2 linked regions of the Lonchura striata genome follow. The protein of the gene in region 1 interacts with the protein of each later gene in a pairwise test. Links are inferred from orthologs where the notes say so. Each region holds a gene or a part of one and is shown in the gene's direction. Other genes may lie near its edges.

Evidence for each region. The genes of interacting proteins can lie anywhere in the genome.
Region 2: the proteins of keratin, type I cytoskeletal 19-like (region 1) and ZGPAT interact in binary tests that used the Homo sapiens proteins (3 or more experiments, as listed by UniProt). The two-hybrid records come from large-scale screens. The link is inferred for Lonchura striata from reciprocal best matches to the Homo sapiens genes KRT15 and ZGPAT.

Annotation. Positions count from the first base shown.
Region 1 is NC_134627.1:6,767,967-6,771,714, forward strand, and holds the start of keratin, type I cytoskeletal 19-like, read left to right. Parts: upstream 1-992; coding exon 993-1,520; intron 1,521-2,007; coding exon 2,008-2,090; intron 2,091-2,887; coding exon 2,888-3,044; intron 3,045-3,330; coding exon 3,331-3,492; intron 3,493-3,630; coding exon 3,631-3,748.
Region 2 is NC_134619.1:7,098,238-7,101,985, reverse strand, and holds the start of ZGPAT (zinc finger CCCH-type with G patch domain-containing protein), read left to right. Parts: upstream 1-1,501; 5' UTR 1,502-1,916; coding exon 1,917-2,560; intron 2,561-3,242; coding exon 3,243-3,376; intron 3,377-3,748. Other genes in the region: ARFRP1 (ADP-ribosylation factor-related protein 1), read right to left, coding at 217-309. UniProt on the Homo sapiens protein: Transcription repressor that specifically binds the 5'-GGAG[GA]A[GA]A-3' consensus sequence. Represses transcription by recruiting the chromatin multiprotein complex NuRD to target promoters.

The DNA of each region.
Region 1 (3,748 bases):
GGGCTGAATGAATGAATTCCTGAATTTCACTGGCAATTTATCAGCTCAATTATGTATTTCTGTTTAGACTCCTGCTTTAAATGAAGGATTAAGGTGCCTCTTTGAGTGTTTCTCAAGACTTATTTTCAAATACTACTCCATTTCCTTAAACACATTGGCATTAAACACATGTATTGCTATAAGAACAGCATTATCTTAAACCCATTCTCTTTATATTTTCTGTACAGTAACAGGATCTTAGTCCTCCCACATTTACTCTTTTAACTGAGTTGTTTCGAGCTGTGATACCTTTCTGAACTATTTCATAATGATTAATAAATTTACTGTTTCCACTCTCCCTTGCACACTGATGGATGCTGATTGTTCCTCACATAGTGCCATGAATAGATGCTTTTTGTAATAAAAATTCAGACTCCAAAAATCTAAATATTAGTTCCAAGAAAAAAATCAATAAGAACATTTCTAATTCAATTCCAAAATTTTAAAGGAAAAAAATACAGATAGAAAAGGAATAATGGTGAGATGAAGAGATGATTGTACATTTTTCAATGAAAAGAGAATTTTATTTAAGCCTCAATTTTAGAAAAAGTTGATTTTCTGAAGGTAGCCATGGTAAGCATTGTAAATAGGTAAGTGGGTGGGGCTGAACTCACTTTGTTTTTCCATTCTTAAATGTCAGAGAAGTAAACTCCAAGTTTCAGAACTATAGCCTGAAGAAAAAACATCATCTGATTCATGCCTTTTGTTTAATTAAAAAAAGAAACCCCAAGCCCAAGCCCCTGCGATGTGCTGCCAGCACTGCTTGTCAGGAATGTCATCATAGCTGGCCTCACCTCTAGGGAGGAGGAATTTTGGAGGGAGGGCTGCAGTGGGGTTTGTCTCCCAACGCCCGATCGTGAGCATATAAAAGAGGCACGAGGGCAGTGAAGGCACAGGCTGTCTTCTCTTGCCGGGCTGCATAACTGACCCTTGCTCCTGCTCTTGCTTCAGCCATGGCCACTTCCTTCATGAGCTCTTCCTCCACCTACGGGGGTGGCTTTGGGGGCGCCGGGGGCAGCAGCTCTCGCCTGTCCTCGGTGCGCGTCGGAGGCACCTGCCGGGCCCCGAGCATCCACGGCGGCTCTGGCGGCCGGGGTGTCTCCATCTCCTCAGCCAGGTACGTCTCCTCTTCAGGAGGAGGCTGCGGCTTTGGCGGGGGCTATGGAGGAGGTTTTGGAGGGGGAGCAGTCTGTGGCTTTGGAGGGGGCTCTGGCTTTGGAGGGGGCTCTGGCTTTGGTGGAGGATTTGACTTCAGTGGTGGCTTTGTTGGTGGCGATGGCCTCCTCTCTGGCAATGAGAAGATAACCATGCAGAACCTGAATGACCGGCTGGCTTCGTACCTGAACAAGGTACGAGCCCTGGAAGAGGCCAATTCAGAGTTAGAAGTGAAAATCCGAGACTGGTACCAGAAACAAGCTCCCACCAGCCCCGCCCGTGACTACAGCAATTACTACAAGATAATTGAAGAGCTCCGAGACAAGGTATGGCATTCATATGTAGAGGAGTTTTAAGAAGGCAAGAGAATTTTGGAACTGCATGTTCCATGTCTTTAAAATAATTACAAAAGAAGTAGTGAATTCCTCATCCCAAATACATCGAGGTCCAGAGCATTCTAGCAGAATGGAGTAGCCTCTTCTCAATTTAAACACAAATATCTTACCCTGACAATGTGATGTTTGTTGAAATTAAAATGATTGCAGTAAAAGTTAGCAAAATGTGTTTAGAATTATCAATATATTTATTCAGAAATCAAATAGTAAAGAATGTGACAGGTAGGCCTCAAAGACTGGAAAAATAATTCACCTGGCTACAGATAAGATCAGGTATAGTACAAACACATTTCCCATTTCCCTGTGGTTCTAATTTGTCTTGCATGGAGTATCACAGCTCTCTGGTTTGCTCATGGAATGTGGATCAGATATTTTACCATTATTCACAGGAATTTTTCTCTCTGTTTCTAATTGCCAGATCCTTGCTGCTACCATTGACAATTCCCGGGTCATTTTGGAGATTGACAATGCCAGGCTGGCTGCTGATGACTTTAGACTGAAGTAAGTTCACCTGAAGCTCATTTGTCTTCACTCTACTTGTCACTCTCTCTAAACAGTTTTTTCTTTAGTAACTTCAATACAAAACATCCTGGCAAGCAGAATCCATTGATGAAGGACCAATTCAGAGTATAAACCTGACAGAACACAGCATTCAGATCACTGAGCTGTTTGCAGGATCAGTTATAGCCTGTGTCTTCATTTTTTTGTGACACTCAAATATTTTTACTAGCCTGAATCACAGGGGAAAGAAGGCAGGAATAGGTGGGATTTTCACTTAGAAGGAACTGAGTGGGAGGAAGAGGTTGCTGTGGGGCTTCAGCATTTCTCTGCTGGAGTCTGAAATTTAGAGTCAGGTGGGGCTTTTGCAGCTCCCAGGCTCAGCAGCACATCAGATGATAAAGGTCCATGTGCAGCTGCCTTCCCGGCAGGAATGCACCTGCAGGTTTCTCTTTTCCCTCCTGTGTCCCCGGCAGCCCTGCCCCACCTGTGCTTTCCTACACAAATCTGGGATGACACTGCAAAACTCCTGTCCTGTGTGACAATGTTTCTATTGATGCTGATAATCAGTATTATGTTCTGCAAGGTGAAATGTCATGTCTCCCTCAAGAACAAAATCATATGGCTTTGTCTGTGCTTCCTTTATGCTGTATCTGGATATTGGAACAGCTTTATTGCTTTTACACTTCTAAATCTGTATCATCTACAGTCCACTGTTGCTCCCATATGTGATCATTTTATAGCTCTGTTGAATACAACCACAGAAACATTCCAGTGCTTGTTTCTTTTTTGAACTGCAGGTATGAGAATGAGCTGTTCCTGCGCCAGAACGTGGAGTCTGACATCAACGGCCTGCGCCGGGTCCTGGACGAGCTGACCCTGTCCAGAACTGACCTGGAGATGCAGATTGAGACACTGAAGGAGGAGCTGGCTTATCTGAAGAAGAACCACGAAGAGGTGAGAGTCCTGGCAGTGCATGGAGATCACTCCCCTTTGGATTTTAGCTCTTGCAAATGAAACATACATGTAAGTCACATGTAAATACGTGTGTCCTGTATGAGTACACAGAGATAGGGAAGCTGTTGTAATGAGAGAGAAAATGTGATAAGTGTTTTATGTGTGCTCCATCTGTGATACTTGATAGCACAGGTACTGTGTACCACAGCAGGGATTGCTGCGGGCAGGAGCAGTGTGAGAGGAGAGAGCCTGATCTTTTTGTGTCCTCTCTCTGCTGCCCATGCAGGAAATGAAAGAGTACTCGAAGCAGCTGAGTGGAACAGTCAATGTGGAAATGGATGCGGCTCCTGGCATCGACCTGACCAAAGTTCTTGCTGAGATGAGGGAACAGTATGAAGCTCTGGCTGAGAAGAATCGTAAGGATGCTGAGGCCTGGTTCTTCACTCAGGTATGGTCACACCAATGAACAGCACAGCAATGCACTGCCTCAGCATTACTGCCTTGGCAGGTCCCTACCACCCTTTCTCAAAATTATGGATTTTTTTAATACATTTGTATGTGATTTTACAGTTGTTTTTCCTTTCAGACTGATGAGCTGAACCGTGAAGTTGCCACCCACACCCAGCAGATACAGACTGGCAAGTCAGAGATCACGGAACTGCGCCGCACCCTGCAGAGCCTGGAGATTGAGCTCCAGTCACAGC
Region 2 (3,748 bases), on another chromosome or scaffold:
AGCAAGAAAAGAAGGGATCACATGTGATTATGGGATTACCAAAGCCTCAGCCACATCCCTCCCTGAAAGCTTGTACTAAATTTAAGTAATGAGGAAAAGTTGATTGCTTGGTGTGACATCACTAAAGTAACTCAGGATGACCCTTGCTGGAAGATTTATCCCTGGAGGATGTTTAGGATTGTGTGTGCCCTCCACGGAGTGATAAACAGCACTTACAGTTTTACCAGCATTGTCCAAACCCAGGATCAGGACACAGTACTCATCTCTCTGGAACATGTATTTATAGAGCCCTGACAGCAGCGTATACATCCTGCTCCTGCAACAAATGCCAGGAAATCAATTAACAAACAGCTTGTTCCCAAAAGCCTCTCATGCCACAGCACAAGTTTTTCCCGATGCCAGACAAACAAACGATGTTACTCTTTCATCAGTACCTCTCATATTTAGGCAATCCCAGGAAAAATCAGAGATCTAAGAGAGATCATGAAAATAGCTCACAATCAAATTTGGGGTTTAAAGGGGAACTGAGGAAGGACTCAAACACCTCTTGCAGTAAATGTAAGACCCACAGAAAATGAAGTGGGCTCACACAAATACAAAGAGCAGGTATTTGGAGCAGGGATCTACAGAAGCTCAGAGCTGGGTGCGCACACAGAGGCACAGGGATGCAGGGAGCACTGGCAGCAGGCGCTGCAGCTGACTCACGGGCATTGCAACACCCCTTCTGTTCGAACACAGATAAAGGGAACCTCCAGGCACAGCCTTTGAGAGGCAGCTGCCTCTAAGCAAGCGCGTGGTTAAACAATCACTTTGAAGTCCAACACCATTACCTAAAGGGAAATAAAAGCGTTTCAAAGCAGGAATCGGATGGGGGTTTTACAGTAAGGGAGGACAGGGCACGAAGGGGCTTCAGTCCCACAGGTACCGGGGCCGCCCTTGGCCCCCAGCTCCTGCCGTGCCCCGGGCAGGGGGAGCCCCGGCCGCTCCCCTCTCGGGACAGCCACTGACCCCGGGACAGCCACTGACCCCAGGCCAGCCCGACCGCCGGCCTGCTCCTCCCTAAGACGGGAGATCCTCCATAAGATCCGGGATTTCTCGCCCTTTCCCTCCCTGTCACAGCCAGTGACGGCTGAAGGAGATCACCGGCCCTACCGCCATTTCCCCCTAATGGCCCCGCGTCACGTCCCGGGCCAGAGACAGGTCCCGGCCCGAGCTCCCGAGGGCAGCGGGCGAGGAAAGAGCCTCGAGCCCGAGCCCCGCGGCCCGTCACCTGATCCGGTGCCGGTGTCAGCGCCGGAGCTGGAGTCGCCCCTCACGACTCCCCAGCGCCACCAGCCACCGCCATTTCGCGCCCAGGACACTGGGAAATGTAGTCCTGTCGCCGCTGCGGTGGCGGTGCGGATGGTGTCTGTGGACTACAACTCCCGGAATGCCCAGCGCCCGGTACTGCGTGGGTGACGCGCTGCGAGCGCAGCGGAAGTGGGGGCGCTGCGGCCGGAAGAGGGGTGTCATGGCGGGTGCCATGGCGGCGGCTCGCCGGGACTGAGGCTGCTGAGGGCGCGGTGCGGCCGCCGAGGGGCCAGTGGCGGCTCAGGGAGGTGCCGCAGCTCTGGGGCTGAGGGAGCGCCCAGGCTGCGGGAGGAGCGGTGCCGTGCGGGGGCCCGGTGGGCGAGAGTGGACTCCGTGGCGGTGGAGGGCAGGGCCAGGCCCGGCCTCTCCTCGGACTCTCCCGTCTCCTCTTGTCGTCTGTTTCCAGCAGGAGCATCGCCCTGGGCATTTCCGAGGGAAAGAGCGGGACGGCGGGTAGATGTCGCTTCTGCAGGCGAGGACTTGTTATCCCAAAGTACTTGAGTAAACTCTGAATGTTTTGAGTTCGTGGAGAGAACGCGGGCAAAAGCGCCTTTGTTGTGCTGAAAATGGATGAAGAGAGTCTGGAAGCAGCGATCCAGACCTACAACGCCCAGCTGGAGCAGGTGGAGCTAGCGCTGGGGGCGGGCCAGGACCCATCGCAGCAGTCGGACCTGATGCAGCTGCAGGAGGATTTGAAGCAGCTGATAGAACTGACCGAGTCCAGCCTGGTGGCTGTGAAAAAGAGCAAACTTCTGGCCACTCTGGACACAGATGCCTCCTCCTCCTCCCCAGCAGGTCTCCCAGGGCAGGATTCCCACCGGGAGAGCTCTACCCAAGATGAGGAATACGCTGCTTTTAAGGAAGCCATTGCTGGGCTTGGAGCAGATGAGGAGCCTGCAGCTGATGGCAACGAGATCTCCTCGGAGAGAGAGGGAGAAACGGGGGATAAACCCAAATCCAAGTGCAGTGAAGAGGAGGAGGAGTCTGAGAGGGAGGAGGAGGAGGAGGGGTTGAGCGGGATGAAGGTCAAAGCCCCCTACTACAGCTCCTGGGGAACCCTGGAGTACCACAATGCCATGATTGTGGGGACAGAGGAGCTGGAGGACGGCAGTGCAGGGGTCAGGGTGCTCTACCTGTACCCCACCCACAAGTCCCTGAAGCCCTGCCCCTTCTTCCTGGATGACAAGTGCAGATTTAAGGAGAACTGTCGGTAAAGAGAGAGGGGTGGGAGAGGCCTTGTCGTTCAGAGGGTTAATCCTCCTCCTCAAGTGCTCTGTGGCTTTCTTACCCAGGGAGATTGTGCCTTAGTGTTTTTAAAATGTGCTGTGGTGAGCAGTGGCACCAGTTTGGCTGCTCTCTATAGCTGATGCACAGATGAAGTGGAAAATCCTGTGGGAAAGATGCAGAGATGTTACATAACTGAGTGGCTGAATTAACGACTGATGAAGTATTTTAAAACAAAACACCCAAGTCTGTGGGTAATGCACACATGGCAGTTGCACAGGGAGGTTGTATAGGCTCCATTTTTGTGGATCTTCACCAGGATCAGCCCCAGTGAAGGTGCTGGGCTGGAGCTGGGCTGAGATCCTCGCCTTTGTGAAGGTGCTGGAGCCCTGCCTGTCTCTGATCCTGTTTATCCCCATAGTCAGGAACTTTTTAATTGGATGTGTCACTAGCAAGGAAGTTTAATTCTCTGGGGTGAGACACATTCTTTGTACCATGACATAAATAACATGTTTAAAGTGAAACATGAACAACTTTATAATTACAACAGCACGTGGTCACACCTTCCTGATTATGGTGAAGGTTCCTCACCTCTGACACTCGTGTGCATTTCTTTTGAGGAAGGAAGGGATTTTCATTTGAAAACTCCTGTTCCTCCTTCCCTGCAGGTTTTCCCATGGTCAGGTGGTGTCCGTAGAGGAGCTCCAGCCATTCCAGGAGCCCGACCTGAGCAGTCTGGGGGTGGGCTCAGCCTGCCTGGCCAAGCACAGTGATGGGATCTGGTACACGGCCAAAATCACCGGTGAGGGGGGCAGGGGCTTGCCCAGGGGGAAGGTGGAGGCTGAGGCTTATGTGGGTCTGTAACTTGGCATTGTGGTTAATGACAGAAAAACATAAACTCTGTGGCAAGATCTTGACCTAGCTGAGGAAACTGTCTGAGTTTTGTGAGGCTAGAGAGAATTGGCTGGGAAACAGGAGATACAAAGAGCAAGAATGTGGAAAGGAAATGACTACGAGGTCATTAACTGCTCCAGGGAAGAGGGAGGGACTGCAGGAATTTACATGTATAGTAGGTGAGAATGGCAGTAATCTGTCTTGTTTAAACAAAAACCAGGGGAGCTGGCCCTGCCCAGCAGCTGCTGATACAGGCCTCCCTCTGTCTTGGGAAGAGGAA